7 linked regions of the Oryctolagus cuniculus genome follow. The protein of the gene in region 4 interacts with the protein of the main gene of each other region in a pairwise test. Links are inferred from orthologs where the notes say so. Each region holds a gene or a part of one and is shown on either strand. Other genes may lie near its edges. The genes, in order: ZCCHC10, LYAR, ZCCHC17, SDCBP2, TNP1, NPM2 and ZRSR2.

Region 1 (4,260 bases), on a different chromosome or scaffold from region 4:
TGGCACAACGCCCAATAATCCATTCTTTAAAGAACAAGCTGTACTCAAAGCTGACATCATTACCTTCTCTAACTCTCAAAATTAATCACTTTACTCCTTTATTTGGGATTCCTTTTCTTTCCTTTTTAAAAAGATTACTTGAGAGGCAGAGAAACAAAGAAGTACAGAGGAAGACAGAGACAGCCAGCCAAAGGGTAAACCTAGCCACTGGTTCACTCTAAATGCATCATAATACAGTAGAGGACATCATATTGCAAGACCAAGTAAGCACGGCAAAGAGAACTCACTTTCATAACGAAACTACTCTTTCAATAACCAAATTAATCCATTAATCTGAAAATAGATTCATTTATTCATGAGGGCAGAATCTCCGTTACCTAATCACCTACCAAATATTACTGATATATGACTTTAGGGATTAAATTTCTTTTTTTTTTTTTTTTCAGATTTATTTCTTTATTTGAAGGTCAGGGAGGCAGAAGAGACAGAGACATCTATCTGTCAGATCATTCCCTAAGTGTTTGCACCAGGCCAGGGCAGAGCTAGACAGAGGCCAGGAGCCTCCTGCCAAGAGCTGCCTCCTCTGTGGGTGCAGGGGCCCTGGCATGTGGGCCATCTTCTGCTGCTTTCCCAGGCACATTAGCAGGAAGCTGGATCAGAAGTGGAGCAGGTGGGACCTGAATCTGTGCAGATATGGGATGACGGCATTGCAGGCGGATGCTTTATTTGACACACCACAGCTCTGGCCCTGGTGGTTAAATTTGTAACACATGAATTATCGGGGGAAAACACCCTAATCATAGCAGATTTTGTTTATTATCTGTAGAAAGTTCCATGTGCCCAAGGGTCTAAACTTGAACAACACAGCATCTCAAGCTCCTAAACACTTTACTAAATAATTATTAATTGAAAAATACAAATGGGTGACCTAGAAACAGACAAGAATATATACAGCAGGATTTCAGAAAAGTTGGTGGGAAATGTACATTTTTCTTTTAATGCCATTTTCACTAACTTTTTGGAGTAATTATACATATGAAGAGTGTATATATATATATATATATATATATAGAAAAGATTGTGGACTTGGGAGAACATTTCCATGAGTCGATACTACAAATAGGTATAGCTACAATTTTCTAAAGTAATATTTGCGATGGTCTTTTTCTGGTTGCCAAAGCAGCTTTGGTCCTTATAACATTGCTGTGAATATATTAAACAATGAACAGTTAACACCATTTTCACTTGAGGATGTGCTAAACCCATTCTCTCGGATCCAGGGCCCGCTCACTATTTTATTCTCCAGACTTCTGCTTTCCGGTACACAGTAGTTTCATTCAGTATCTCTGCGTGTGGGGGATACCTATACACACGAATCTTAAAAATACATACTTTTCCTTTTCGGGAATGTGCTTCCCCGTCACCGTCCTTGCAAACCTCGCTCAGCCCCATGGACGGACCCACAGCGGCGTCCGCACGCACCCGCCTCCGGCCCTCGGCCTCCTCAGAGAGGCCGCCCGCAGGCCCCGCCCAGAAGCCGCCCGGAGGCCCCGCCCACGCCGCGGCCGCCGGGTCCAAGTCCACGCCCCCTGCGAGGAGTTTCCCAAAACTCAGCGCGGCAGGCCTCGGCCGCGCTAAGATGGCGACTCCCATGCATCGGCTCATAGCCCGGAGACAAGCGTAAGTGGGGGCCCTCTCGGGCTCCCGGACGGGCTGGGGGCGGGGAGACGCGCGTCAGCCGGCGGCTGAGCCGGCGCAGGGGTGCGCGGCTGGGCGTCGGACCCCCTCCGAGGAGCGGCCGAGGATGGCTGTTGCTCAGACACATTGCCAGCGTCCGCGGGGCTCGGCCCGGGCGATAAGTTTGGTGACCAGAGACTTGCGGGGTCGTGGAACAAGAAGGCAGCACGCGGGGGTTGGTCACTCCGTGGGTTAGGCCGTTCTGCCCGCACGGCGCGTGGGCAAGGGAAGCCGGGTCGGACCCCTCCGCTCCCGCGGAGGTAAACTGCAGCTCCCTCGGCAGCCTCCCGGCCAGCTGTCTTTCGCTGCCCCCTTCCCATCGCCGTCCCTGGACTCAACCAGCAGCTACTTCTCAGTTACTGCCGGTCTCTCCCTGAGTAAATATGTAGTCCCTGGGCTCGGCGCCAGAGCTTGGGCATAACGAAGAGGTGTTTCATTCCGATGGAGCCCCTGCTTCGGGAGCTCACGCTCCGGTGATGGGGACGGTCTCTAGTTTGGTCAGCTTTGACGGACACGAGGTTTGGTGGTGGAAAGAGGCGACATTTGATCAGAGATGGCCATGGGGAGAAAGCAGCCGGTCCTGAGACGATGTGTGGAAAGAACATCCAGACAGTGGCAAAACTGCTTGGAGGCCAGAAAGAATTTACTTCTCAAGAGCAGAAAGATGGCCAGTGTGCCTAAGGAGCTAGCAGGACAGCGGCGCCAGAGGTTTGCCGTGAGCCGACAATGCAGGGGTCATCTCGGAGGCCCTTTTCCTGCAAAACCTTCTTTCCTACCAACACATCTGCTACTTCTTCATTCTCAGTGTTTCACACCATCATCGTTTTGCACACCTATAGTGCATAGCTCAGAGTCCATTAACGTATATATGTTTATGTTTTTTATGTTTCTCCCTTTTCAGGCCCGATGAGAGTTCCCTGAATATGATAAAGACTCAGGGAGTCAGAGTAGTCAGCTTGGTGGTGAAAGGAGGCTCAGTGCTAACTGATGTCATTAGGTCTCCGTCTCTGCCTCTCTGCTTCTGCCTCTGTTGCTCAGGTTTGCTTTCCTGGATGTTGGCTCCAGACTGGAACAGACTCTGTTTTCTTCCTAATGCAGTATGCCAGGGTCCCTTATATCCTCTCAGCTTGGAGCTGGCTGCACTTCAGTGACCTGACTGCCTTGGCACACCTGTGGGATTTTGAAGTTACAATTGACTCAGAGGTCTCCTCTCCCAGCCTAGTGGAATGGATGACCATGAATGGATGATCTGGGTGGACGGGTCAAAGGTAGATGAATGCTGACTAATCAAAATCCGTAGTAGTGCTCATTCACAAGTATCAGAAAGTTAAATGTTTTCTTTGTATAGTGTGTGTGTTTGGTCCATGAGGTACATTGGAAGTAAAAGGCAGATCAGAGCTCGAGCAGCTTGTGGTCTTGTTGGGAAGAGGTATAATATAAGTTGTTGTGGTGTACAGATTGTAATACCCCCAGGGATTCAGGAAAGGAAGATTATTTTGAGGTTAGGGACGTGCAAAAGAATTTTAGGGATGTATTTGGGGGAGAGGAGAGGAGTCTTTGCTTTTCATTTTATTTTCATATTATGTTAGTCAAAAAATGTTAATTTTGTTTATAAGGAGCATATATGACTTTTATAATAATATGTTTAAAATTGTATTTAAGTTATGAGAACTGAGAAAGGTCTGTTGTCATTCTTTTTTTTTTTTTTTTCCTTTAAAGATTTATTTATTTGAAAGGCAGAGAGATCTTGGGGGAGACAGAGAGAGAGGTCTTCTGTCCTCTGGTTCACTCCCCAAGAGGCCACAATACCTGGAGCTGGGCCTATCCAAAGCCAGGAGCCAGGAGCTTCTTGAAGAACCAGGTCTCTGATGTGGGTGCAGGGTGCTAAGCACTTGAGCCATCCTCTACTTCAGAAGAGCAGCCAGGACACAAACCGGTGCCCATGTGGGATGCCAGCATCACAGGTGGAGGCTTATTTTGAAAGCATAAATTAGCAATCTATATGAAAGATGAATTTTTTAAAAAGATTTATTTTTATTTGTTTGAAATACAGAGTTACAGAGAGAGGTAGAGATGAAGAGAGAGAGAGTCTTTGATCTGCTGGTTCACTCTCCAAATGGCTGCATTGGCTGGAGCTGAGCCGATCCGAAGCCAGGAGCCAGGAGCCTCCTCTGGGTCTCCCACAAGGGTGCAGAGATCCAAGGACTTGGGCCATCTTCCACTGCTTTCCCAAGGCCATAGCAGAGAGCTGGATCAGAAGCGTAGCAGCCAGGACTAGAACCGGTGCCCATATGGGATGCTGGTGCTTGAGGCCGGGGCTTTAACCCACTGCACCACAGCACCAGCCCCGAAAGATTAATTTTTTTTTTAAGACATTAATTTGTTTATTTGAAAGGCAGAATTAGAGAGAGGAATCTTCCATCTTCTGATTAACTTCCCAGATGGCTGTAAAAGCTGGGCCATGCTAAAGCCAGGAGCTAAAAACTTTCAAGTCTGGCCATGTTGGTGGTAGGAGCCCAGCTA
Region 2 (4,209 bases), on a different chromosome or scaffold from region 4:
CAAAAATAACGGACAGCAGCAGCCAATGAAAAGGGTGGTATCACAGCAGGGCACCCACCTCTGTGCCTCCGTGGCTGCGGGACGGGACGTACGGGAAGGGGCTGAGCAGGTACCTGGTGGCTAGTGAGGGGTCTGGGATGATACCCTAGACAGGCAGGTCACCCTGAGCCTCACAGAGCTGTTTTTGTGTTTGTATGTATGTTATCTGAAAGGGGGAGGGGAGGGGAGGGGAGGGGAAGGGAGGGGAGGGGAGGGGGAGGGGAGGGGGAGGGGGGGAGAGAACCGCCCATCTGCTGGGTCATTCCCCGAATGCCGCACAGCTAGGACTGGAGCAGGCTGAAGTCGGGGGCCAGGAGCTCGGTCCAGCAGTGGCTTGAGTCATCACCACTGGCTGTCAGGGCGTGCACTAGCAGGCAGCTGGGATGGACATCAGGGCAAGGACTGGTGCTAAGGCACGCAGGCACGGGACATGGGCAAACGCTGCCCCCCGCTGGCGCCAGCTGACACGGGAGGCCACTACGAGGACACGGAGTTCCATCCTGCAACACGGACTCACCGACTGACCACAGTGTGACGGGCTTCAGGGCCGCGGGAGTGAGCATGCCGGCTGAATTCCAGTGAGAGCAACACACACTCACAAGTACGCAGCCACAAGTCACGGCTAGACAGTGAGACACAGTGAGACAGACACAGGCCGGCGCCAGGAGCTCAGTCCAGCAGGGCATGACTTACAGAGGAGACGTGACAGCGAGGGAAGGTAGTGGGTGTGGGACGAGACTCCGGAGGTTAGAATGGCAGGCTGGACACTGAACTCCGCCCCGCCACCCTCCGCCTGCTCTGCGGTCCTTCTCGGTGAGCAGGTGCAGCAGAACCCGCTGGAATCTGGCTGGCGTGGCCCTCCTTCACCCCACCTTCAGCCCCCTCTCCCCACACACACCGGCCACAGCGGAACTCCCGGGCTCCCCAAACGCACCACATCCCTGGCTCATTAGTGAGGACCTGGGCAACGCCCTCTCCCTGCGGTGCCCGTCCTACCTCACAGGTTGCTGCGGCAACAGGGTAAACAGCTGGAATGGTATCTGGCACGTCTAAGTGCTCCGCAGGTGTCCTGAGAATTCCCTGGGAGCTCAGGAGTGCCGACTCCTGGCACCGGGCAGAGCTCTGTCCTGTGGTCCGGAGTGGGGCCAGGGCATCAGCACAAGCTTCCGGCTGCTCCTGGAGGTGACCCGCAGGCCTCCGCACCACACCGCCTCTCCTGGGAGTACTGCGTTCACACCGGACCGCCCCTTTCCAGCAGGGCTGGGCTGGCTGCCGTCTGCTTCTCTCACATCTGACCCTGGGATCGCCCATGCAGGCTCCCGTGAGGTAACGCGGTTCCCGCATTCGTGTCCAGTGCTGCTGCTCTGTGGCACCTCCTGATCTCTGCCTGGCACACAGCAGACCCTCAGCCTCTACAACCCACGCTCCCTGACCTCTGCTGGCTGATGAATACTGGCAGGTAACTTTTCACAAGCACTTAGGCCATTTTAAATCCTTCCCGTTACATCCCACCCAGCGGCCGCTCTGGCCCCTGCCCTCTCCTCCTCCTCACCCGTGACCCAGGAGTGCGTCTGCGTGTGGCCTGCTACACCCCGACAGCCACAAACCTCCCACTCACCGCCCCGTCACTGCCTTGGGCTTGGCAGGATGAAGTGTGCCTCCTCCTCTCCACGCAACCTTCCCATAATTCCCCTTTCAGGGCCTCACTCTGTCCCCCCCAGGTCCGTCCAACACAAATCTCACCCCCACCTTTCAAAACAGCAGTGTCCACCCCCCAGAATGACCCCGCCGTGCTCTGCAGACCCCTCCTCCCCAGCTCTCCTGCAGCGGCCACTCCTTCCTGAAGCTCCCCCTCCTCAGGACTCTTCCGGTTCCCTACACCCCGGATCTGTGCGGTCTGTGCCACGCCTCCTCTCCCGCTAGTCCGGAAAGCCTAGTGTTCCTGGGATGCAGCTCCTTGGCCTCTCCTCGGTTCTTGGACCATCACGTGCAGCCCGGGCTTCCGCCTGCGCAAGCAGACGGCTCTGAAACCGGAAACGTCACCTTCCACCACCAGTTCCAAATCTCCAGCCTTCTGCCGAACGTCTCCAGGGCTGCGGCCCCTCAACCTGGCGCCTCTGTGACGCGTGCCCCTCACCCCTCACGCCTCCTCTCACCCCCCCCTTCCTTACGGGAAGCACCGTTTCTGATGTGCAGAGCTGAGGGCAGGGTTACCACCTCCTGGTCTGGCATTTACAGAAAGCCCTGGGACGGGCAGCCTCGCCCAGACCAGCACTCAGAAAGGGAGGCTCGGTGCCACGTGGTGGGCACTGTCTCCAGTGCCGAATCCTTGGGGCAGTGAGGAGCCAAGCCAGTCATCAGTGAGCCGCCCCTGCCCCACTGGCAGCCGGACCAGAGAGGGCCTCTTGGTTTATAACTAGCTATCACGTACAAACCACGTACTGCAGAACTGTGTCTACTAACTCAAGCACTTGTAAAGGCTCAGCTATCACCATTTCCAGGTGAAGAAGCCGAGCAGTGGGGAGGCCAGGCAGCTGTTGGGGCCATAAAGCCCCCACGTGCCAAAGCTGGGCCTTGAACTCCGAGACCCGGGGGTCCCTGTTCTTACGCTTCACTGACTCCCGTGGGAAGACCTCGAACCACAAACCAATGTTAAATACAGCCACTATGCTGAACCTTCATTAGACATATCTAGCTCTACAGAAATAATAACGGAGACAATTCTTTGGACCAACTCCCGGAATTATGATATACAAAGTTATGAACCCTTCCACAATTCCTTTTCTAAAAAATTTTTTTTATTTAGTTAATTGAAAGGCAGAGCTACAGAGAATGAGAGAGAGGCAGAGACAGAGAGATCTTCCATCCGCTGGTTCACTCCCCACACGGCTGCAATGGTCAGGGCTGTGCCAGACTGAAGCCAGGAGCCAGGAGATTCTTCTGGGTCTCACTGGTAGGTGCAGGGGCCCAAGCACTTGGACCATCTTCCACTGCTTTTCCAGGCGCATTAGCAGGGAGCTGGGTCAAAAGTGGAGCAGCCGGGACTTGAACCAGTGCCCATATAGAAGGCCAGCACTGCAGGCAGAGGCGTAACCTACTACAACACAGCACCGGCCCCCACAACTTACTTTTTATTTTAAAAGATTATTTATTTATTTGAGAGGTAGAGTTACAGACAGTGAGAGGGACAGACAGAGAGAAAGGTCTTCCCTCCATTGTTTCACTCCCCAGATGGCCGCAACAGCCGGAGCTGCGCCGATCCAAAGCCAGGAGCTTCTCCCGGGGTCTCCCACGTGGGTGCAGGGGCCCAAGGGCTCGGGCAACCTTCCTCTGCTTTCCCAGGCCACGGCAGAGAGCTGGATTGCAAGAGGGGCAGCCGGGACTAGAACCGGCACCCATATGGGATGCCGGCACCGCAGGCAGAGGATTAACCTCCTGCGCACAGAGCCAGCCCCCAAAATTTACTTCTGAATTATAAATAACTAGAGTTCTCTAAATTACTTCCTGACGTCAGTCCGGTACTGTGGGGAGCAACCCGGACTAGACTAAGTTACTGGAATTAAGACTTATTCTATGCATCTGCTCTCCCACAATATGGCGCTGAGAAGGGGGGGAAACAGCTTCTACACAGCTGCCTCCAGTTCAACCAATAGACTGTGGGACCTGCTCCTGATTGGAGGAGAGCAGCGTACTCGGCGTGTGGGTAGCAGAGTTGGGATTGGTGGAAAAGGACTATGAAGGAGGAGAGAGACAACATGCACGAGGAACATCTGAAGGAACACCTGTGCAGCCCCCAAGATAGCCAGCCGGCGGTGTGCCGCTCCCCTGCAGAAGTGGGGAAAGTGGCCAGGGGGAACCGCCCTTCCACGGAGGTGGAAGGGACGGTAGCCAACCCGGGAAGAACCAGCAGCAAACCCGGGGAGGGCCGAGCAGACAAAAGAACAGCGCAGGGTCCTGTGTCGTTCCTCCACGAAGACGGGGAGCGACATAATGGTGCCGTGACTCGGACAGGAAACCTAGGAGGGAAGAAGAGGGAAGAAACGGGAAGAAGTGGGAAAATACCGGAGAGAGAGACTAGCAAAGAGCCTAGGGAAAAGCCGGACGGAAAAGGTGCCGGAAGAAGCTATCGAAAGCCTAGGCATAGACTTGGATACAGACTGTGGGAAAGAA
Region 3 (3,711 bases), on a different chromosome or scaffold from region 4:
GAAGATCACCCTTGAGGCTGTTCTGAACACTACCTGCAAGAAGTGTGGCTGTAAAGGTAAGAGGAACCCTCTGCAATTTCCATCGTTCTGTCCTTGTAGATGGACCCTTTACTGAGTGAAGGAGACAGCCCAGTGTTCATTTAGCTCACCCTGTTTTTGAGCCAAATGATAACCTCACCTGCCTATGCTATTGTTTCTGCCAGACCTATATCTGAGTTCATGGCTTGATGCTTTTTCTGTTTACTTTTCTGAATACTGGCCCTGCTGGATTCTGTATCACCACTCCCTGCTCTGCAACTGATGTCTTCCCTGGGCAAAGTACTTTTATACAAGGCCAGGAGGGATCAGAGTATTGAATTATGATTAGTACTCTAAACTTTTTTATCTCCAAGGATGGTTACTATTATGCAAAAGTCAGGCAACTTGAAAGTAGGTTCCTTAAGGATCCAGGTTAAACCCTTTGTTTCTTAGCTTTATCTGTTTTACTTCAGAGTTCTGAAAACAGTATCCTTTTAGTAATGAAGAATAGAAGATAGTCACTTGTTTTTAGCTCTCTTTCCTCAGGTTTCCTCTAGTCTTACTCAAATATTAAAAAGCTCTTTCAGCCTGACTTCCTTTGTTGGAGCTATAGTGAGAAGGATTGCCAGCTTCTCATTTTCACAGTGCCCTCAATTTGTCACCCCTTGTCCCTAGCCTTCCTTCTATCCTGCTCTGTTGATTTTTCTACAACAGTAAGTAACAGACTTGTACCTTCATTAAGTTGTGGAGTTTAAAGCCCCTTTATGGCATTAACATAGAAGGTGAAAGGGAAAAACGGAATTGAAAGAGTACCTTCTCAGGGGAACTGTGAGAGCATTCTAGACATTTGGAAAACTTTTACTGTATCCCTTTCCAGGCAACATCCAGCTTATGGACCCAGAAGTGCGTTGCTATTTGATTATCTCGTATAATTCCTCTGAGCCCTGAGACAGGATGTGCCACAAGCACAAACAAAACCAGCTATGTAGAGCATAGCATCTCTTAAACGACCCCTTACTAGCATTGTAGGCTCAGGGAAGGTAGAGTCTCTTACCTTGTGTCCATGAGGCAGAGAATAATGAGAGGTGCATTTTGTCCTAGTCAATAAAAGGCAGTTGGTTTTACTACAGCAGAGCGCAGGGCAGGGAGGCATGATACCTGGGGTGAAGTACAGCTCGGCTGATCTCTCTGTAACCTTGAACTGCTTGTCAACTCTGGGCAATCATATCTCCTGTACATGCAGGATGTTGGATTCGAGGAACTCCAAGGGCCCTGCCAGACCTCACTGTCTGGATGTTCAGTGCCCTAGGTGACTGTGCCTCTCTGTGTGTTTGGATGTATGTGCCCACTTCCTGTCAGCTATCTTCCTTTATGACTTGGCCTGGCACTCTGCTCCATCTGCTAAGCACCCTGCTTTCTGGATAAGCCTTTGATTGTCAAGAATAAGTTTCAAAATTGATGTTTAAAATTTAATGGGCCCTAGTGCTAATGGAAGGCAGCACAAGCCTCATATCCTCTACCATTTTTTTTTTTTGGTTTGTAGAAATTTATTGATATTTCAAAGATGTTTCTTCTTCTATCCCATTCTCCCATTTCTAAGCATTTCTAAGGCAGCACTTGTGTCTCACAGCTGCAATCCCAGCTGCTAGTCTAGCTCTGAGGGAGGGAGTGGTGTGATTTGGAGGTGATGGATTATCTTCTGTGGTTCAAACAGCTGTCCTGAGTGAATTTACTAATATGTTCTGAACCAGTGAGCCCCTTTTACATATGTCTGGGATTGACTATTGACTATTGAGGGGAGAGACTATTTCCTTGCTTTCTACTTTGTTCTACTCTTCTGCAGGTCACTTTGCAAAAGATTGTTTCATGCAGCCAGGTGGGACCAGGTACTCTCTGATACCTGACGAGGAAGAGGAGAAGGAAGAGGCAAAGTCGGAAGAATTTGAGAAGCCTGACCCCACAAAGAATTCTTCTAGAAAAAGAAAGAAAGTGAGTGTCATCTTGCTTTTATTTATAATTTTTTAGAAAGTTTTATTGATTTATTTGAAGGCAGCATTACAGAGAGAGCTCTGCCCATACATATAAATGCAAAATTATGGTCATATAGGTATAGTTTATGCCCTACTGTTTTGGTTTTACTTAAAGGATTTTCTGTTTCCTCAAAAACTTGAGTTAAAAACAATTTAATCCACCCTATGGGTGTATGATTATTTAATTGCTGGATATTTTTTATGACTTTGAACTTGACTTTTTGGCTACAATCTCTTTTTGTTTACTTTGGATACATTTATTTGAAAGAAGTAAGATGGCTGAGTTCAAGATTTAAGCCTCACTAATGTATTGTACCAGATTGCTCTCGAGAAAGTACTTATCTGTCGCCCTAGTTGCAACACTGCCTGCCTGACTGAGTTCTGTCTCCTGTGTGTTAGTTAGAGCGGAGCAATTCATAAAACAGGCATATTTGCATAGTCACACAATAGATGTAGTGAACAATGCATCTGTGGCATGCAGTGCAGTGAGGAAATAAAAGAGCTGTGCTACAGTTTTTTTTTAAAGATTTGTTTATTTGAAATAGAGGCAGAGGCGGAGAGAGAGACAGAGAGAGAGGTGAGAGAGGTCTTCCATCCGCTGGTTCACTCCCCAGATGGCTGCAACAGCTGGAGCTGCGCCGATCTGACAGGAGCCAGTACCCTCCTCTAGGTCTCCTTCACGGGTGCAGGGATCCAAGGACATGAGCCATCTTCCACTGCTTTCCCAAGCCACAGCAGAGAGCGGAATCTGAAGTGGAACAGCTGGGACTTGAACCGACACCCGTATGGGATGCCGGCACAGCAGGTAGCGGCTTTACCTGCTACGCCACAGTGCCAGCTCCTGTGCTATAGTTTTGTCAGGAATTAGTTGTTTTTCTATCATGTGGGATTTTTCTGATTGTGGCCAGTTACTGAGTTTTGTTTTAAGTCTTTTACAAATTTTAATTGAGTGGTCCTTTTTTGCCAAGGGTTGCAAATCTAGGAATACAAAAACTATTATGAGATACTTGTCCTCAATGAGCATTATTTACAAATTAAAAAAAAGCTCAGTGTAGACAGATGGTAGATACAAAGCTCTGAAACGTACATTCCTAATGTTGTCTGGTGTGACTGCCATTCTCTTTCATCCCTCCTTGCTAAACACACATGTGCCCCTCTACCACAAATATAGTCACTAACATCAAAACCCTGCTTCTATCCTTATATCTTTTTTCCTAAAGATTTATTTGTTTGTTTGTTTATCTGAAAGAGTTACAGAGAAGGAGAGGCAGAGAGAGAGAGAGAGAATCTTCCATCCACTGGTTCACTCCCCAGATGGCCACAACTTTTGGAGCTGAGCCCATCTGAAGCCAGGAGCTTCTTCTGGCTTCTTCTTCCCATCTGATGTATGATTTTCAAGTATTTTCTCCTGTCCCATGGATTATGTATTAATCTTTTGATAATTAGTGTCCTTTATTTCCCCTCCAAATTTACATTTTTAAAAAACTGTAGCAAACAACATAAAATTTACTATCTTGACTATTTTTTAATTGTACAATTCAGAAGTGTTAAGTATATTCACATGATTTGTGTTCTTTACACAAAAAATTATAATTGTGATGACATTCAGCTTACCCACTTTTTTCTTATTGCCTGTGCTATTTTGGTGTCCTATTTAAGAAAT
Region 4 (4,386 bases):
TCAGCACGCGGTGGACTTTGTCTGTGCTCCACCCGCTGCAGTCCTGCCCGTTGATCTGCAGGATCTGGTCCCCAAAGCGCAGCCCCACGAGGGACGCGGGGGTGTTGGCCTGAACCAGCTGCACAAACACCCCCTGGGAGAGGCAGGGTCCCAGAGTCAGTGTCCCTGGTCCCACCTGGGCTCAGAGCACTCCTCCAAGCTGTGGCTTTCCGCCGAGTGCTCCTGGGGCTTACTGGGTACCAGGACCACAGCTCCCCGGCAGGTGCAATGGTCCCCTGCTCCTAGGAGGAATCACTCCCAACTGCACAGCTGGGAGGAGGGGAGTCAGGATTTCACACCTGGCCAGAGGCCACACCCTAACCACTGTGCCACACGGCCTCTCCCAGAGGCACCTGGCTCCCACAGTCTATGGAGGATCGCAGGGAGGGTCACAGGAGGAAGGCGGTCTCCGACGATCACGGCCCATGGAGGGTCTGGTGGAGGGGGTGGAGGGGTGGGGTTCCTGCCTCCAGCCAGCACTGGGGAGCAGCCCTGGGGGCCAGAGTGCCGCCTGCTCTCGGGCTCCGCCGGGCCGCCTACCTTGTCGATGGCGCGCAGCTGCAGCCCAATCTTGTCCTGCTCGTTCTTGCACAGGTGAATCTCCCGCACCCCAGGCTTGATCTCCGCACGCCGGACGCCCAGGTTGTTCCCGGACACGGGTGCCACTACCTGGCCTGCCCAGGAGCCAGAGACGGCTACCTGCAGACAACAGGAGGGCAAAGGGGTTAGCCCGGCCCTCGGGGGCCCCCTACCACCGGGGTCACCACGGATAGGGGTGTGGATGGGGAAAGGAGGTGGAGTGGTCCTGCCCCCGCAGCTCTTTTCCGCAGGAGCCCAGGGGAACGTGGCCTCGTGGGGCCACTAGGGGGCGTCAAAGTCCACATCCAGGGACCGGGATGCAGGAAGGGGACTAATTTCCAAGGGAAATTGGGATCAGGAAAAAAAAGTTTAAAACCACTTAAAATGGAAAATAAATTCACAGCAAATAGGTGCAATTGGGGACAGAAGGACTCAATTTTATTTTTGTTATAAAAAAATTAAGCTAAAAGTATAAAAACTTATCGACCACTTCCCCTTAAGAGGCAGGGCGAGGTGGGGGTGTCCACTCTCCCGACTACTCTTAAATAGCACTGGAAGACCCAGCCCGCGCAGTAAGGAGGAAAAGGGGCAGCGGGCATGCAGACTAGAAAGGGAGAAATAAAACATGACATCGTGGGTGACAAGCCCCTGCCCTCTCAGGTCTTTCTGTCCACGCAGCTGCTCCTGTGTCACAGGCAGCCTGCACTGGGGGACACCAGGCTTGGGCTCTATATCCCATCTGGCAGCCTGAAGCCAGAGGTCAAAGGGCAGGCCCCCACAGGAAACCATGGAAACCCCAGGCTGCTTTTCATGAGGGCTCACAATGGAAAGTGCATTGAGAAACAGAGCCCCAAGAATCCTGGGGGAAAGAGGAGACAGAAACACAGGGACACAGGAGGTCTGCCGGAGTGGCAAGACCAGGAAGACAGGCAGGAGGCGGATACGCACCGTGCTCCCCTCGGCGCTTGGAGACAAGCTCTGCTGGACCTCTTGGCTGGAGAGGGAAAGGCCCATGTAACTATCCAGTTCCGCCAGGTTTGGGTACAAAACTGGTTGGGGAGGGAAGCAAGGAAGCAGAGAGGTGTTACTTGAGGGTGTGGCCACGACCCTTTCTGCCGCACTCCCGTGTGGCCGTGCATTTTTAGAAGAGATGGAGCGTGAGGATGCTGTTTCCTCCCAGGACTGCCACGGGTCCCTGGGAGCACTCATTCCCCAGGGGCACTTGCTGGCGATGTGGCCTCCTCTGAAGATCTGCAGGGCAGGCGTCTGCCTTTGTCCAGGGCTGGCCTGGGACACCAAGTCCATCAGTTACCACCTTGGCATTCAGCTGTGACTGGACATGGGACACCAAGAATAGTGCTGGCGCTGAGGCCTCAGGACATCCACAGTCTGTGGCTGGGAGGGGGCAGGTGTCTGACCCAAGGGTACCCCCACCCCAGAATGTGGGGGAGACAGACCACACTGTGGGAGGGCGAGTGCAGGCCCTGAGTTCAAGTTTGCCACCACAGGACCTGCATCAGGACCACCTGAGCACCTCCTGGGACCTCCCCAGGGTACAGGGCTCCTCTGATCAGAAAGTCCTTGTCCTCACTAGGCCAGCTTTCCCGGTGTCCCCTTAAAGGCTTCTGGTGAGGGTGGAATGCATGCGAGGCCATGTGCATGGGTAGCGAGTGAGAGATGAGCACCTGGAAACCGCCAGAGGAGGGGAGGCCAAGGCCTCGGGCTGCTACCGCCCTGCCCCAGACCAAGGCCTCCCCAGCGCCTCAAAGCCTCTCCCGGTGCCCAGGACCCTCCAGGATCTACAGAGCATTCAGTGGGGGTGGGGCAGGGAGAGTCTTACAGGCTGTGGGGTGCATGAGACTCACCTGGAGACGTGGAGGTGGCTGCCGCCGGGAGCAGCAAGGCAGGCATCCTGGACTGGGCCTGCGGAAGCACGGGCAGTGCGGTCAGCTGCGGGTCCAGGCAATGCATGTGTGGACAGCTTGGGGCGGGGCCTGCGTGCCCTCAGAGCTCACAGAGACTGGCTTCTGCAGATGTGCCCATCCCCGGGAGGGGGTTCTCCTGGGGCCCACACTCCCCAGGTATCACAACCCAGGTAGCAAGGCCCATCTCTGAACCAAGTTCTGAGCTCCAAAGTCTCAAGGTGCCAAACCCTCTCTGGGACCACAGGGCAGTGGGATGGAGGGAGGGAGGGGCTTCCAGGCTGGAGCATGCCAAACCCCATCCACGCACATCCTGTAGCAGATGGCTTACCTGGATGACCTGGTCCACCTTCAGGTCCTCCAGAGATGGATACAGGGCGGACATGGCTGCTCCCTGAGACACCTGCAGAGTCCAGGGCATGAGGAGGGGTGAGGGTGCCAGGCTACACTCAGGCGGGACAAAGACAGCCAAAGGTGTTATTATCCCCGCTTTAGAAAGGAGGGCACTGGGGTTTGAGCCAGTCTGTGTGGTTCCTGAGCCTATGGCCTTCCCTCACAAAATTCCATAGTAAGGGCAGGCACTGTGGCGTAGAGGGTAAAGCCACTGTCTGCAGTGCTGGCATCCCATATGGGCGCCGGTTCAAGTCCCAGCTGCTCCACTTCAGATCCAGCTCTCTGCTATGGCCTGGGAAAGCAGTAGAAGATGGCCCAAGTCTTTAGGCCCCTGCACCCGCGTGGGAGACCCGGAAGAGGCTCCTGGCTCCTGGCTTGAGATTGGCGCAGCTCTGGCCATTATAGCCAATTGGGGAGTGAACCAGCGGATGGAAGATGTCTATCTCTATCTCTCTGCCTCTCCTTCTCTGTGTAACTCTTTCAAATAAATAAATAAATCTTTAAAAGAAACTCCATAGCATCATGATCCTCTGACACTGGGCTGTAGAATCTAGATCCTGGGCCTACCTGGGACAAGCTGGAAGGAAAGGGAGATCACGAACTATATGCTTTCCTGCATGCCCCAAAACTCAGATGCACTAGCGTGGCCTGGCTACTCAAGCCAGCAGGTGTGCAGGGAGAATAATGTGCTGTGCTCCAGGCCTGTTAGGAGTGTACGGGATCGGGATTAACCACTTTGTCTGTCTGCATTTGTAGATGTCACAGCGACCCCACAGTTGCAAACAAATATGTTTAGTCATTGAGTCAAGAGGTCAAATGGGTGGGAGTGCCACAACCCACATCAGAGTGCCTGATTCGTCTTGGCTGCTCTGCTTCCAATCCGGTTCCCTGCTAATGTGCCTGAGAAGGATGATGACCTAAGTATGTGGATCCTTGCCACCCATGTAGGAAACTAGGAGGGAGTTCCTGGCTCCTGGCTTCTGCCTGCTCCAGTCCTGGCTGTTGCCAGCATTTTGAGAGTGAACCAGCAGTTGGCAAGATGTCTCTCCCTCTCTGTCCTGCTCTCTGTCACTCTGCGTTTCAAATAAATTTTTTCTTAAAAGGTGCCAAATATAAACTCCTGGAGCAGTTCAGTTGCATATTGTCTTCCAATAAATCCAAACCCACTGGTAAATTAGATACAAGCGTGATCGGAAGTAATCCAGTGTGAGCGTTTACATATTCTTTTATTATAAATTATTTTCATTTTCTTCATTTCTCCTTTATAAAGACATGACATCCTATTGACATCGATTTTTATTTATTTTTTTACCCAGGAGTCGTCGTCGCCTGTAGCCTCGGGCTGCACCTGCTTGTTCCCTAGATCTCTATTTGCAGTTTTGATAAGTGGCATCGGAGAGAGCCCCGAGGGTCTCCAGGATCTGCCCTCCACTGCTGGCCTCAGACTACCCAC
Region 5 (2,628 bases), on a different chromosome or scaffold from region 4:
CAAATCCTTTAACGCCACATACCAGTTATCATTCAGTTTCCCTACATGGATATCTCAAAAAAGCACTTTAAATTCAACATAGCATGTTTTAACCCAAATACATGCTTATCACCATCCCCATGCCTGGTCTTTATCCCCGGAGTGGCACCAGCATCCAGACAGCTATATTACACAGAAACAAAAGCTGTACCCTTAACACCATTTGCTCTCACCTTCCAAATCCAATCCATCACCAAGTCTTTGTCTTTTGTCTGCTTCTGTATTTCAATCAACACCTCTTCATCCAAGTCTAAGCCATTATCAGATCTTTCTCCCTATTGAACCACTGCTATTGACAATAGCCTCTCCCTTTATTCACTCGACTCCTCCAATAAATCAATAGCCCACCCACCAGCTGCCTGTCTCATTGTGCCAACCCTCTAACATTTTTCAAGGCTTCCCAGTGTACTTGAGCATGGTTTGGTCTCTGCCTCTCTTTTCAAACTCATCCCACACCACGCTGGGAGGTTCCCTCTGCCCCTCCTCCAGGCAAAATGAGCCTCTAAGTAATTCCTCACTGATATTTATGGATACTAGATTAATGGCATCTCATGAGTCTGAAAGTTCCATGAGCACAGGACTCACATGTGTCATTATCCACCATTGTTTTCTTAACACCTAAGCTCATGCTGCATCCTATCTAATCAATAAATATTTGTGGCTGAATTTTTTAATATAGTGAGGCCAGTGATTCTGAACCAGGCTGATGTTGCCCCCTGCCCCCACTCCCTCAGCCTCTCAAAGGAAAAACAGCGATATTTGGACATATTTTTGGTGATGGCATCTATGGAGGCTCTGCTGGCATCTAGTGAGTAGAGTCCAGGGAGGCCAGGGACGCTGCCAAAGGAGGACTCACCAAGAGTTATCCAGCCCATTGCGTCGGTGGTTCTTAGACTGAGAAACTTTTAGATGAAAGAGAAACAATATTTATGTTTTGATCATACTGAGTTGGATTTCCTAGAGTCAAGTGCTTGTTGCCTCCAGATGCTTTGAGACTTAAACATGTATGCATACACACATACTCAGTGGGTACTAAATTCCCTACAAGCAGGAGACATGTATTTTAGTGGTCTCTTGTATTCCTCAAATGCCTGGTATTGAGCCAAGATTTAATTGCTCATAACTACCTATCTGGAAAGCCTTACCTAACCTGAAAAACATCTCAAAATTGATGCCAACATTTGAGCTGCATGAAAGGGACCACTTTATTTCACATATATGACCAAAGAGTAACAAAGGCTAGTGACATCACAAAAGAGCACTGCCTACCTGCTAGGCCACGCCCCTTCACAGTCACAAAGGCCAAGGCCTTAAATACCCACACTCTCAGCTCCCGGGCCTTGCAAAGCCCCTCATTTTGGCAGAAATTACAATGTCGACCAGCCGCAAATTAAAGAGTCATGGCATGAGGAGGGGCAAGAACCGCTCTCCGCACAAAGGAGTCAAGAGAGGTGGCAGCAAAAGAAAATACCGGAAGGGCAGCCTGAAGAGTAGGAAAAGGAGCGATGATGGTGAGCGAGGGATGAGTAGGAAAGTAGTCAAACTTGGGAAGATGTTGCTCCCCAGGCCCTCACATCTGGAGGCAGCCTACATATGACCTTGAAATCTCAGCAGAGATCCTTTCCAATGATTAAAACCCTGCTTGGGCAAAAAAGTTTTGATGGGTGTTTTCTAATGGGTATCACTCTTGCAACCTGTCCTTCCCCCACAGCCAACCGCAATTACCGCTCCCACTTGTGAACTTACCAGCGGGCTCTGTCCTGGTGGGCTTCAAACAGCACCAGGCAGCAATGAGAGAACAACAGAAGGGGAACTGCCAAGGAGGCCTGAAGTTAGACCAAAGCCAGAGAAGAGCCTATCGAGTGTGGATAAAATGCCAATTGTGACAAAATGAGGAATGTATATGTTGGCTGTTTCTCCCCAACATCTCAATAAAATTTTGAAAACTAAACTGTTTCCTTTGATCTTTTGGTTGGAAAAACTTGGAATCCTGAGCAAGGCAGACTTGGGGAAGAATTGGCCCAAATGAAACCATTAAACATGACTTGGAAAATATCAAAGTAATTTGTCCTTACAACTCCTTCCCGTGGTGGCCCCATTCTGGCCATCTCCATATTTAGGTCTTTTTCCCAAGGCATGGACTCCCTCCCCAATATGGAAACAGAGTATAGGGAGAAATGAGTTCATCTGAGTGCCAAATATGAGCCAAAGGTCACAAGCTACTTTTGTCAAGGGACTTCTAGCATAAGGAGACACAAGCTGAAGTTGATTTGGCCCAAAAAACATTCAGTGGAGGCTCTCAAGTCATTGGGAAGCATTAGCAGGCTGTTAAGAATTGGGAGGTGTTCTGAACAGAAGGCAGCATGAACTTTGTAAGGAGAACACAATCATCCACAATCATCCTATTAGTAAAGTGGAAGTGATGAGGGCTTTATGCCTAGACTTCTACAGGTTTTTTAGTAATAAGCCACATTTTCAGATGGACGCAACCAGTAGCTAGAGATTCAAGCCACAGTGAGTGTTGGTCAAGTTTGCCTGAAAATAGGAATTATCTCAAATCTTGGTGGATTTTATTGGCACAGAACTGCC
Region 6 (4,226 bases), on a different chromosome or scaffold from region 4:
CCAGGCCTCGGGGGACACCAGTGCCACTGGCACCACACTGGGCACACGCACCCGGATTTCCCTGAGCCTCGTGAAAGCCACGGCCCTGCAGGTGCTGGGAGGGGGCAAAGGGCACACACTTCAGTTCTCTCTCTCCCATGGGTACCGCTGTTTGCGTAGGGGTTTTATGATGTTGTTGTTGTTGTTGAAGATTTAACTGTGTGTTTGAAAGGCAGAGTTAGAGACAGATCCATCTTCCGTCCGCAGGCTCACTCCCCAAGGGGCCACAGTGGCCTGGGGCTGGCGCTGGCCCAAGCCATCCTCCCCTGCTCTCTCAGGTGCATTAGCAGGGAGCTGGCCCAGAAGCGGAGCAGCCGGGACTTGAACTGGCGCCCATACAGGTGGTGGCTTCATCTGTGCACCACGATGACAGCCCCTGTTCGGGGCTTTTTTTCCCCATATTCAACAAGGGTTAATTATCATTTGATTAATATAATCCTTGTGCCTCTTTTTAAAAAAAGATTTAATTATTTATTTATTTGAAGGGGAGGGTGATGACAGAGAGAGAGAGAGAGAGAGAGATCTTGCATCTGCTGGTTCACTCCCCACGTGTCTACAATAGCGGGTCTCCCACGTGGGTGGCAGGGGCCCAAGCACTTGTCCTACCTTCCTCTGCCTTCCAAGGCACATTAGCAAGGAAGCCAGACTGGAAATGAAGCAGCGGAAACTCAAATTAGCACCCCAGTGTGGGATGCCGGCGGTGTCCCTGGTGGCAGCTTAACTCGCTGCGCCAGGACCCCAGGGCCCCTTGTACATCTTTGGGGGGGGGGGGCACAAGGCGATGTTTGTGGGCGTGGGCAGTGCGCTGCTCCCATCAGGGTAACCAGCCTTTCCTCTACCAATTGTTTGCGTTTGGAGCCACTGAGAGCCCACTAAGCTATGCTACTCAGTTATCATGAAATCAGTAAGGGCTCCTGTTGCAAGGTAGTCGCCTAACTTCCTCCCTTTCTCTCACCGCTGCTGCTGGGGTGGGGGTGGGGGTGGAGGGGGCGCTAGGGATGCTCTGGACCCTGGGACATTTGTCATTTGTCATCCAGGAGTCTCTGATAAACCTTTGCCCCGGGGCAGGCGCTCTGGGGCGGGGAACAAGGCCTGCCCAGTGCCAGCTGCTGGTGGGTCCTTGGTGTCACTCGCGGAGAGTGGCCCAGGGCCTCGCCCCACAGCAGGCGCCCTTCTTGCCAGCCTAGCGCCCCCACCTGCCCGGCGCCATGAACCGCAGCAGCAGCAGCAGCACAGCTGAGAAGGCAGTGAGGACGCTGCTCTGGGGTGAGTGAGGACCCAGCTCGTTCTGCCCCGAGCAGAGGCGCCGGGGGCAGGGGAGGGGGGAGCGAGCCCCTCTGGAAGGACCCCCTGCTCTCCTCTGCCCTCTGTCCCACTCCTGAGCTCCCCTCTCCCGCGTAGGCTGTGAGCTCAATCAGGAGAAGCGAACTTGGACCTGGAAGCCCCAGGTGGAAGGGAAGGAGAGCTGCAGACTGTGGCTCAACACGGTGGGTGCCCCTCGCCCCCCACCCCACGGATGCAGCAGGCTGGATGCTGCGGCAGCCCCACGCCTCTGTTTGCAACGCAGATCTGCCTGGGGGAGAAAGCCAAGGAGGAGGTGAACCGGGTGGAGGTGCTGCCCGGAGCCGGCCAGGAGGACAGGAAGGCGTCGCCCGTTACCATTGCCTCCCTGCAGGCCTCTGTCCTGCCCATGGTGAGCCCCCGGAGCGCACGCGCCGGCGGGGGGGGGGGGGGTCTTCACAGACTACATCTTGAAAGTGTTCTTGTTTATATGAGAGACAGAGAGACGGAGAGAGATACGCAGACGGAGAGAGAGAGACAGAGAGAGAGAGAGAGAGAGAGACAGAGACGGAGGGAGAGAGAGAGACAGGCAGAGAGGCAGAGAGAGAGAGACAGAGACAGAGACGGAGGGAGACGGAGACGGAGAGAGAGAGAGAGACGGAGACGGAGAGAGAGAGACAGAGAGAGACGGAGGGAGACAGAGAGAGAGACGGAGGGAGAGAGACAGAGACAGACAGACAGAGAGATGGAGGGAGAGAGACAGAGAGAGAGAGAGACAGAGAGAGACAGAGACAGAGAGACAGAGAGAGACAGAGACAGAGAGATGGAGGGAGAGAGACAGAGAGATGGAGGGAGAGAGACAGAGAGATGGAGGGAGACAGAGAGAGACAGAGAGAGACAGAGAGAGAGAGAGACAGAGAGACAGAGAGAGACAGAGAGAGACAGAGAGAGACAGAGACAGAGACAGAGAGAGACAGAGACAGAGAGAGACAGAGAGAGACAGAGACAGAGAGAGACAGAGAGAGACAGAGACAGAGAGAGACAGAGAGACAGAGAGAGACAGAGAGAGACAGAGAGAGAGAGAGACAGAGAGAGACAGAGAGAGAGAGAGACAGAGAGAGACAGAGAGACAGAGACAGGGAGAGACAGAGAGACAGAGACAGGGAGAGACAGAGAGACAGAGACGGAGAGACAGAGAGAGACAGAGAGACAGAGACGGAGAGACAGAGAGACAGAGAGACAGACGGAGAGAGACAGAGAGACAGAGACAGAGACAGAGAGAGACAGAGACAGAGAGAGACGGAGAGAGAGAGAGACGGAGAGAGAGAGAGACGGAGAGAGAGAGAGAGACGGAGAGAGAGAGAGACGGAGAGAGAGAGAGACGGAGAGAGAGAGACGGAGAGAGAGAGATGGAGAGAGAGAGATGGAGAGAGAGAGAGAGAGACGGAGAGAGAGAGAGAGACGGAGAGAGAGAGAGAGACGGAGAGAGAGAGAGAGAGACGGAGAGAGAGAGAGAGAGACGGAGAGAGAGAGAGAGAGAGAGACGGAGAGAGAGAGAGAGAGAGAGACGGAGAGAGAGAGAGAGAGAGAGAGAGAGAGAGAGAGAGACGGAGAGAGAGAGAGAGAGACGGAGAGAGAGAGAGAGAGACGAGAGAGAGAGAGAGAGAGAGAGAGACGGAGAGAGAGAGAGAGAGAGAGAGACGGAGAGAGAGAGAGAGAAACAGAGACAGAGACGGAGAGAGAGAGAGAGAAACAGAGACAGAGACGGAGAGAGAGAAACAGAGACAGAGACGGAGAGAGAGAAACAGAGACAGAGACGGAGAGAGAGAGACGGAGAGAGAGAGACGGAGAGAGAGAGACGGAGAGAGAGACAGAGACAGAGAGAGAGTGCTCCCATCTGCTGGTTCACTCCCCACGACAAGGGTTGGGCCGGGCTGAAGCCGGGAACTCCAGCGGGGCCTCCCACGTGGGTGCCAGGCACCCAGTTACCCGAGCCACCACCTGCTGCTGCCAGGGTGCCCATGAGCAGGAGGCTGGAGTCAGGGGTGGCACCGGGTACGGAAGCCCAGCACCCCACATGGGGTGCAGGCAATGCCCCAGGTCTCTTCCTAACCTCTGGACCGAACACCTGGACCCGGAATTGCGTTTTTAAACTTCTCTGATGGTGCCAGGGACGCTGTTGATGATTTAAATGGCGGTTGTGTATTCGGGGAACGTCTCTTGTTTCTAACTGGTTTTCTTGGGTCTCCTAAGCAAATAATCACTGAGAGTGAGGGCAGGTTTGGGTTTCAGTCTGTGTGTGTGTGTGTGTGTGTGCACGTGTTTCGCCAAGGGGGCTGGGCCGCCGGGAGCAATGCCGGTTGGGTGTGATGGAGGCGACACTTCTTCCTGGTCCGTTACCAAGGCTTTCTGCTCTGCGTGGAGTGTTCACCCTTCTAGACCCACTGTGCCTTTATTTATTTATTTATTTATTTATTTATTTATTTATTTTTGACAGGCAGAGTGGACAGTGAGAGAGAGACAGAGAGAAAGGTCTTCCTTTGCCGTTGGTTCACCCTCCAATGGCCGGCATGCTGCAGCCGGTGCACTGTGCTGATCCAAAGCAGGAGCCAGGTGCTTCTCCTGGTCTCCCATGGGGTGCAGGGCCCAAGCACCTGGGCCATCCTCCACTGCACTCCCTGGCCACAGCAGAGAGCTGGCCTGGAAGAGGGGCAACCGGGACAGAATCCGGCGCCCCGACTGGGACTAGAACCTGGTGTGCAGGTGCCGCTAGGCGGAGGATTAGCCTAGTGAGCCGCGGCGCCGGCCCAACTGTGCCTTTAAAATGTTCTTTTGCACCATGAACGAGGGTGAAATCCTATCCGACGCTGTTCTGTTCCTGTGCTCCGGGGTTCTTTCTGCATCGT
Region 7 (3,711 bases), on a different chromosome or scaffold from region 4:
TTATGATGAAGATGATACATTTGATATGAAGTAGGGAAATAAATTTTGTTTTCCTGCTTACTTGAAATACTTGTTTTCAATCATATACATGCATCTTTGTGTTTTTTTTATCTTTGTTTATTCTTCTGAGTGTTACATACTATATTTGTTTTCTTGTACTATAATAAAATAACCAAACCTAGGTACTTTCTTTTAAAGATTGATTTGTTTATTTGAAAGAGTTACACAGAGAGAGAAGGAGAGGCAGAGAGAGAGAGGTCTTCCATCCGCTGGTTCACTCTCCAATTTGCTGCAATAGCTGGAGCTGTGCCAATCCGAAGCCAGGAGCCAGGAGCTGCTTCTGGGTCTCCCACGCGGGTGCAGGGGTCTAAGGACTTGGGCCATCTTCCATTGCTTTCCCAGGCCACTGCAGAGAGCCGGATTGGAAGTGGAGCAGTTGGGTCTCGAACTGACAACCATATGGGATACTGGCACTGCAGGCAGCGGCTTTACCTGCTACACCACAGCGCCGGCCTCCTAGGAACTTTATAAATAAAAGAGTTTTATTTTGCACACAGCTTTAGAGGCTGAAAGTCCAAGATCAGGAGGCCCCATTGGTTGGGCCTCATGGTACATGGCATCACAAGTGCGTGTGGAAGAGATCACATGGTGAGATAGAAAGCTAGAGACCAGGGAGGAGCCAGTTTTTTTCTCTTCATAACAAACCATTCTCATGTGAGCTAATGCACTCTGTGAGACTGCCATTAATCTCTTCAGAGGCTGATGGTTCCCAATGATTTAAGCAACCTTTCAGTGGGCCCTCTGTACCTCTTAAAAGTTCCATCACCGGAGGTGAGGAGGGGAGGTGGCATTGTGGCGTAGTGGGCAAAGCCGATGCCTGCAATGCTGGCATCCCATATGGGTGCCAGTTCATGTCTCAGCTGCTCCACTTCCAATCCAGCTCCCTGCTAATGTGTCTGGGAAGGCAGTGGAGGACAGCTCAAGTGCTTGGGACCCTGCTACCCACATGGAAGAACTGGAAGAAGCTCTTGGCTTCAGCTTGGCTGAGCCTGGGCCGTTGTGGCCATCTGGGGAGTTAACCAGCAGATGAAAGATCTTTTTCTGTTTCAGCCCTCCCCCCTCACTCTTTGAAATAAATAAATCTTTTAAACAAAAATTCCACTGCCTTTCTATACTGCCACATTGGGGACCTCTCTCACTTCCAAACCATAGCACATACTACATTATTGCTAAAAAACAAGAAAATTAATTGTATGAAAATACTGTATGGCTTTATGGCCTATTTGAAAGCAGAAGCACAGTTATCTTAAAATTATTAGATGTTAAAGTTTTTAACATTTATTTTTTCGTGGTTTTAAATTTAGGTACTGGTTCAGGTGTTTGGCATAGGTTTTAAGACACCAGTTGGAATACTTGCAGCCCACATTTCAGGGCCTGGGTTTCAGTCCCAGCTCCTTTACAATTCCAGCTTTTTGCTGTGGTGCAGCTTGGGAGGCAGCAAGTGATGGTTCAAGTGGTTGGGTCCCTACCACCCACATGGGAGACCTGAGGTACATTCTTGGCTCCTGGCCCCAGGTGCTCCAAGCATTTGGGGAGTGAACCAGTGGATGGGATCTCTCTCTCTCTCTCTCTGCCTATATCTTTATGTCTTTCAGTAAATAAAATAATTTTTAAAAGTTCATATTCCATTTGTTTCAGTTACCTACAATTAAAGTGTTCTGCACAACTGAAACATCTGTGTTGTATCCTACAATATGCATAGGAACATTGATGTATACATACCAGCCTCTACCATGACTAACAGGTGTGTTCCTGGAGTCTGTAGTTGAAAATGGAGCAGCAGGTGCTGTGGCATAGAAGGTTAAGCCTCCTCCTCCAGTGTCCACATCCCATACAGGTGCCAGTTCCAGTCCCAGCTGCTCCACTTCCAATCCAGCTCCCTGTTAATGTGCCTGGGAAAGCAGCAGAAGATGGCTCAAGTACTTGGGCCCCACAGCCACATGGGAGATCCAGAAGAAGCTCCTGGCTTCCCTGGCCCAGCCCTGGCCATTGTAGCCATTTGGGGAGTGAACCAGTAGATGGAAGATCACTCTTTCTCTGTCTCTCTGCCTGTGGCTCTCCTTCTCTGTAACTCTAACTTTCAAATAAATAAATAAATAAATCTTTAATAAATAAATAATAAATAAAAGAAAATGGAATATATTTTCCCATAGGATATTTATTTAAAATTGTAGTTAGGTCCCCAGGCTAGACATCAAACCTTATTTAACTTCTGATGTGGCTGAAGTAATATAGAACGATTTCTTGTATTTCATTTCCCTTTTATAAATTCACTTGGAAAGAAATCTAGGTCCTAAACACCCTATTATCAAATAAACTTCGGAAATATAACCCCCTTTTAAGTTTTAAAGAAATTTTTGTTTCATTTTATTTGAGAGACAGAGATCAGAATCTATCCACTGATTCACTCCTGAAATGTGTGCAACACCAGGGACTGGGCCAGGCCAAAGCCAGGAGCCCAGAACTCAATCTGGGTCTTCTACCTGGGTAGCAGGTACCCAAGTACTTGAGTGATCATTGCTGTCTCTCAGGGCATGCATTAGCAGCCAGGCACTCGATACAGGATGGGGCATCCCAAGTGGTAGCTTAACTCACTGTGCCAAACCCTCTCTCCATAACCATCCTCCCTTAAATTAGAAACTTGTGATACTGCATGTTGAGACACTTGCCACTTTAAGATAACATCATTCTTTATAATTGGTCATTTAAAAAAATAGTGCTTGCTAATTTATAACTTCTTTCATCTATTCTAAAAATCTAAAGCTTGATTTTAAAGACTTCAATTGTGCTGTTTAAGTGTTTGTAGTCAAATGACAGGACTCTTAACTGTTTAGAGTAGTAGTCCAAAGGTTTATGGCAAAAGATGCCAGGTTTTCTTAGTGCTGCAATCAAAATGTATAGGTTAGGAGGAATAATGTGTTCTGAATGAGAAAAGTGAGATATTGCTTTGAAACTTGCTACCATTTTACTGGCACCTAATCATTACAATGATTGGCCTACAGGGGAAGTTGTAGTGTCATATAAAAGAGATCACAGCCAGAGCACCTATGAAATTAGAATAGTGACTTAAGTTATCACTCTAGGAAGAGAGTTGGCTGACACTGTACTTTTCCAAAAGCTTTATTCATATCGTCTGGTTCTCTACCCCCACTTGACTGCTGTATAGAAAATATCATTCATGATATTTCCATCATTCCCAAAACATGTCATTTTGCTATCAAATGTGTATATGTGTATGTATTTGTAAATTAATGCCCATTTCTCTTTTTTGATTACATCGTTGTAATGATAGGCAGAAGTTACATGAGGAGTGGTTGCTGAGGGAGCAGAAGGCACAAGAAGAATTCAGGATAAAGAAGGAGAAGGAAGAGGCAAATAGAAAACGGCAAGAAGAGCAAGAGGTACAGTATCAATTAAATAACCAGTTAACTAACTAGTACAGTATCAATTAAATAACTGGTTAACTAATTAGTACAGTATCAATTAAAAAAACCAGTTAACTAATTAGCTAGCTACTCAAAATAGTTCTCCGTAAGAGTTGCATTTCTTGAACTTTAAAAAGATCCAATGTTATCCATTTTACTTGTTTTTAATTTTTTCATTTATTTGCCCTATATGTTAAATGTTTTAAAAAAAGTGAGCCTGAAAAGA

What was found.
Region 1: the proteins of SDCBP2 (region 4) and ZCCHC10 interact in binary tests that used the Homo sapiens proteins (3 or more experiments, as listed by UniProt). The two-hybrid records come from large-scale screens. The link is inferred for Oryctolagus cuniculus from reciprocal best matches to the Homo sapiens genes SDCBP2 and ZCCHC10.
Region 2: the proteins of SDCBP2 (region 4) and LYAR interact in binary tests that used the Homo sapiens proteins (3 or more experiments, as listed by UniProt). The two-hybrid records come from large-scale screens. The link is inferred for Oryctolagus cuniculus from reciprocal best matches to the Homo sapiens genes SDCBP2 and LYAR.
Region 3: the proteins of SDCBP2 (region 4) and ZCCHC17 interact in binary tests that used the Homo sapiens proteins (3 or more experiments, as listed by UniProt). The two-hybrid records come from large-scale screens. The link is inferred for Oryctolagus cuniculus from reciprocal best matches to the Homo sapiens genes SDCBP2 and ZCCHC17.
Region 5: the proteins of SDCBP2 (region 4) and TNP1 interact in binary tests that used the Homo sapiens proteins (3 or more experiments, as listed by UniProt). The two-hybrid records come from large-scale screens. The link is inferred for Oryctolagus cuniculus from reciprocal best matches to the Homo sapiens genes SDCBP2 and TNP1.
Region 6: the proteins of SDCBP2 (region 4) and NPM2 interact in binary tests that used the Homo sapiens proteins (3 or more experiments, as listed by UniProt). The two-hybrid records come from large-scale screens. The link is inferred for Oryctolagus cuniculus from reciprocal best matches to the Homo sapiens genes SDCBP2 and NPM2.
Region 7: the proteins of SDCBP2 (region 4) and ZRSR2 interact in binary tests that used the Homo sapiens proteins (3 or more experiments, as listed by UniProt). The two-hybrid records come from large-scale screens. The link is inferred for Oryctolagus cuniculus from reciprocal best matches to the Homo sapiens genes SDCBP2 and ZRSR2.

Annotation. Positions count from the first base shown.
Region 1 is NC_091437.1:21,523,608-21,527,867, reverse strand, and holds the start of ZCCHC10 (zinc finger CCHC domain-containing protein 10), read left to right. Parts: upstream 1-1,447; 5' UTR 1,448-1,450; coding exon 1,451-1,680; intron 1,681-4,260.
Region 2 is NC_091433.1:4,827,871-4,832,079, forward strand, and holds the start of LYAR (cell growth-regulating nucleolar protein), read left to right. Parts: upstream 1-1,352; 5' UTR 1,353-1,498; intron 1,499-4,209. UniProt on the Homo sapiens protein: Plays a role in the maintenance of the appropriate processing of 47S/45S pre-rRNA to 32S/30S pre-rRNAs and their subsequent processing to produce 18S and 28S rRNAs. Also acts at the level of transcription regulation.
Region 3 is NC_091438.1:141,023,762-141,027,472, reverse strand, and holds part of ZCCHC17 (zinc finger CCHC domain-containing protein 17), read left to right. Parts: coding exon 1-56; intron 57-1,861; coding exon 1,862-2,007; intron 2,008-3,711.
Region 4 is NC_091442.1:27,249,178-27,253,563, forward strand, and holds the start of SDCBP2 (syntenin-2), read right to left. Parts: upstream 2,969-4,386; 5' UTR 2,962-2,968; coding exon 2,872-2,961; intron 2,542-2,871; coding exon 2,484-2,541; intron 1,668-2,483; coding exon 1,567-1,667; intron 739-1,566; coding exon 580-738; intron 134-579; coding exon 1-133.
Region 5 is NC_091434.1:22,432,650-22,435,277, forward strand, and holds TNP1 (spermatid nuclear transition protein 1), read left to right. Parts: upstream 1-1,363; 5' UTR 1,364-1,411; coding exon 1,412-1,550; intron 1,551-1,750; coding exon 1,751-1,779; 3' UTR 1,780-1,990; downstream 1,991-2,628. UniProt on the Homo sapiens protein: Plays a key role in the replacement of histones to protamine in the elongating spermatids of mammals.
Region 6 is NC_091439.1:1,260,677-1,264,902, reverse strand, and holds the start of NPM2 (nucleoplasmin-2), read left to right. Parts: upstream 1-1,227; 5' UTR 1,228-1,247; coding exon 1,248-1,305; intron 1,306-1,440; coding exon 1,441-1,526; intron 1,527-1,606; coding exon 1,607-1,732; intron 1,733-4,226. UniProt on the Homo sapiens protein: Core histones chaperone involved in chromatin reprogramming, specially during fertilization and early embryonic development. Probably involved in sperm DNA decondensation during fertilization.
Region 7 is NC_091453.1:1,939,902-1,943,612, forward strand, and holds part of ZRSR2 (U2 small nuclear ribonucleoprotein auxiliary factor 35 kDa subunit-related protein 2), read left to right. Parts: intron 1-3,352; coding exon 3,353-3,461; intron 3,462-3,711. UniProt on the Homo sapiens protein: Pre-mRNA-binding protein required for splicing of both U2- and U12-type introns. Selectively interacts with the 3'-splice site of U2- and U12-type pre-mRNAs and promotes different steps in U2 and U12 intron splicing.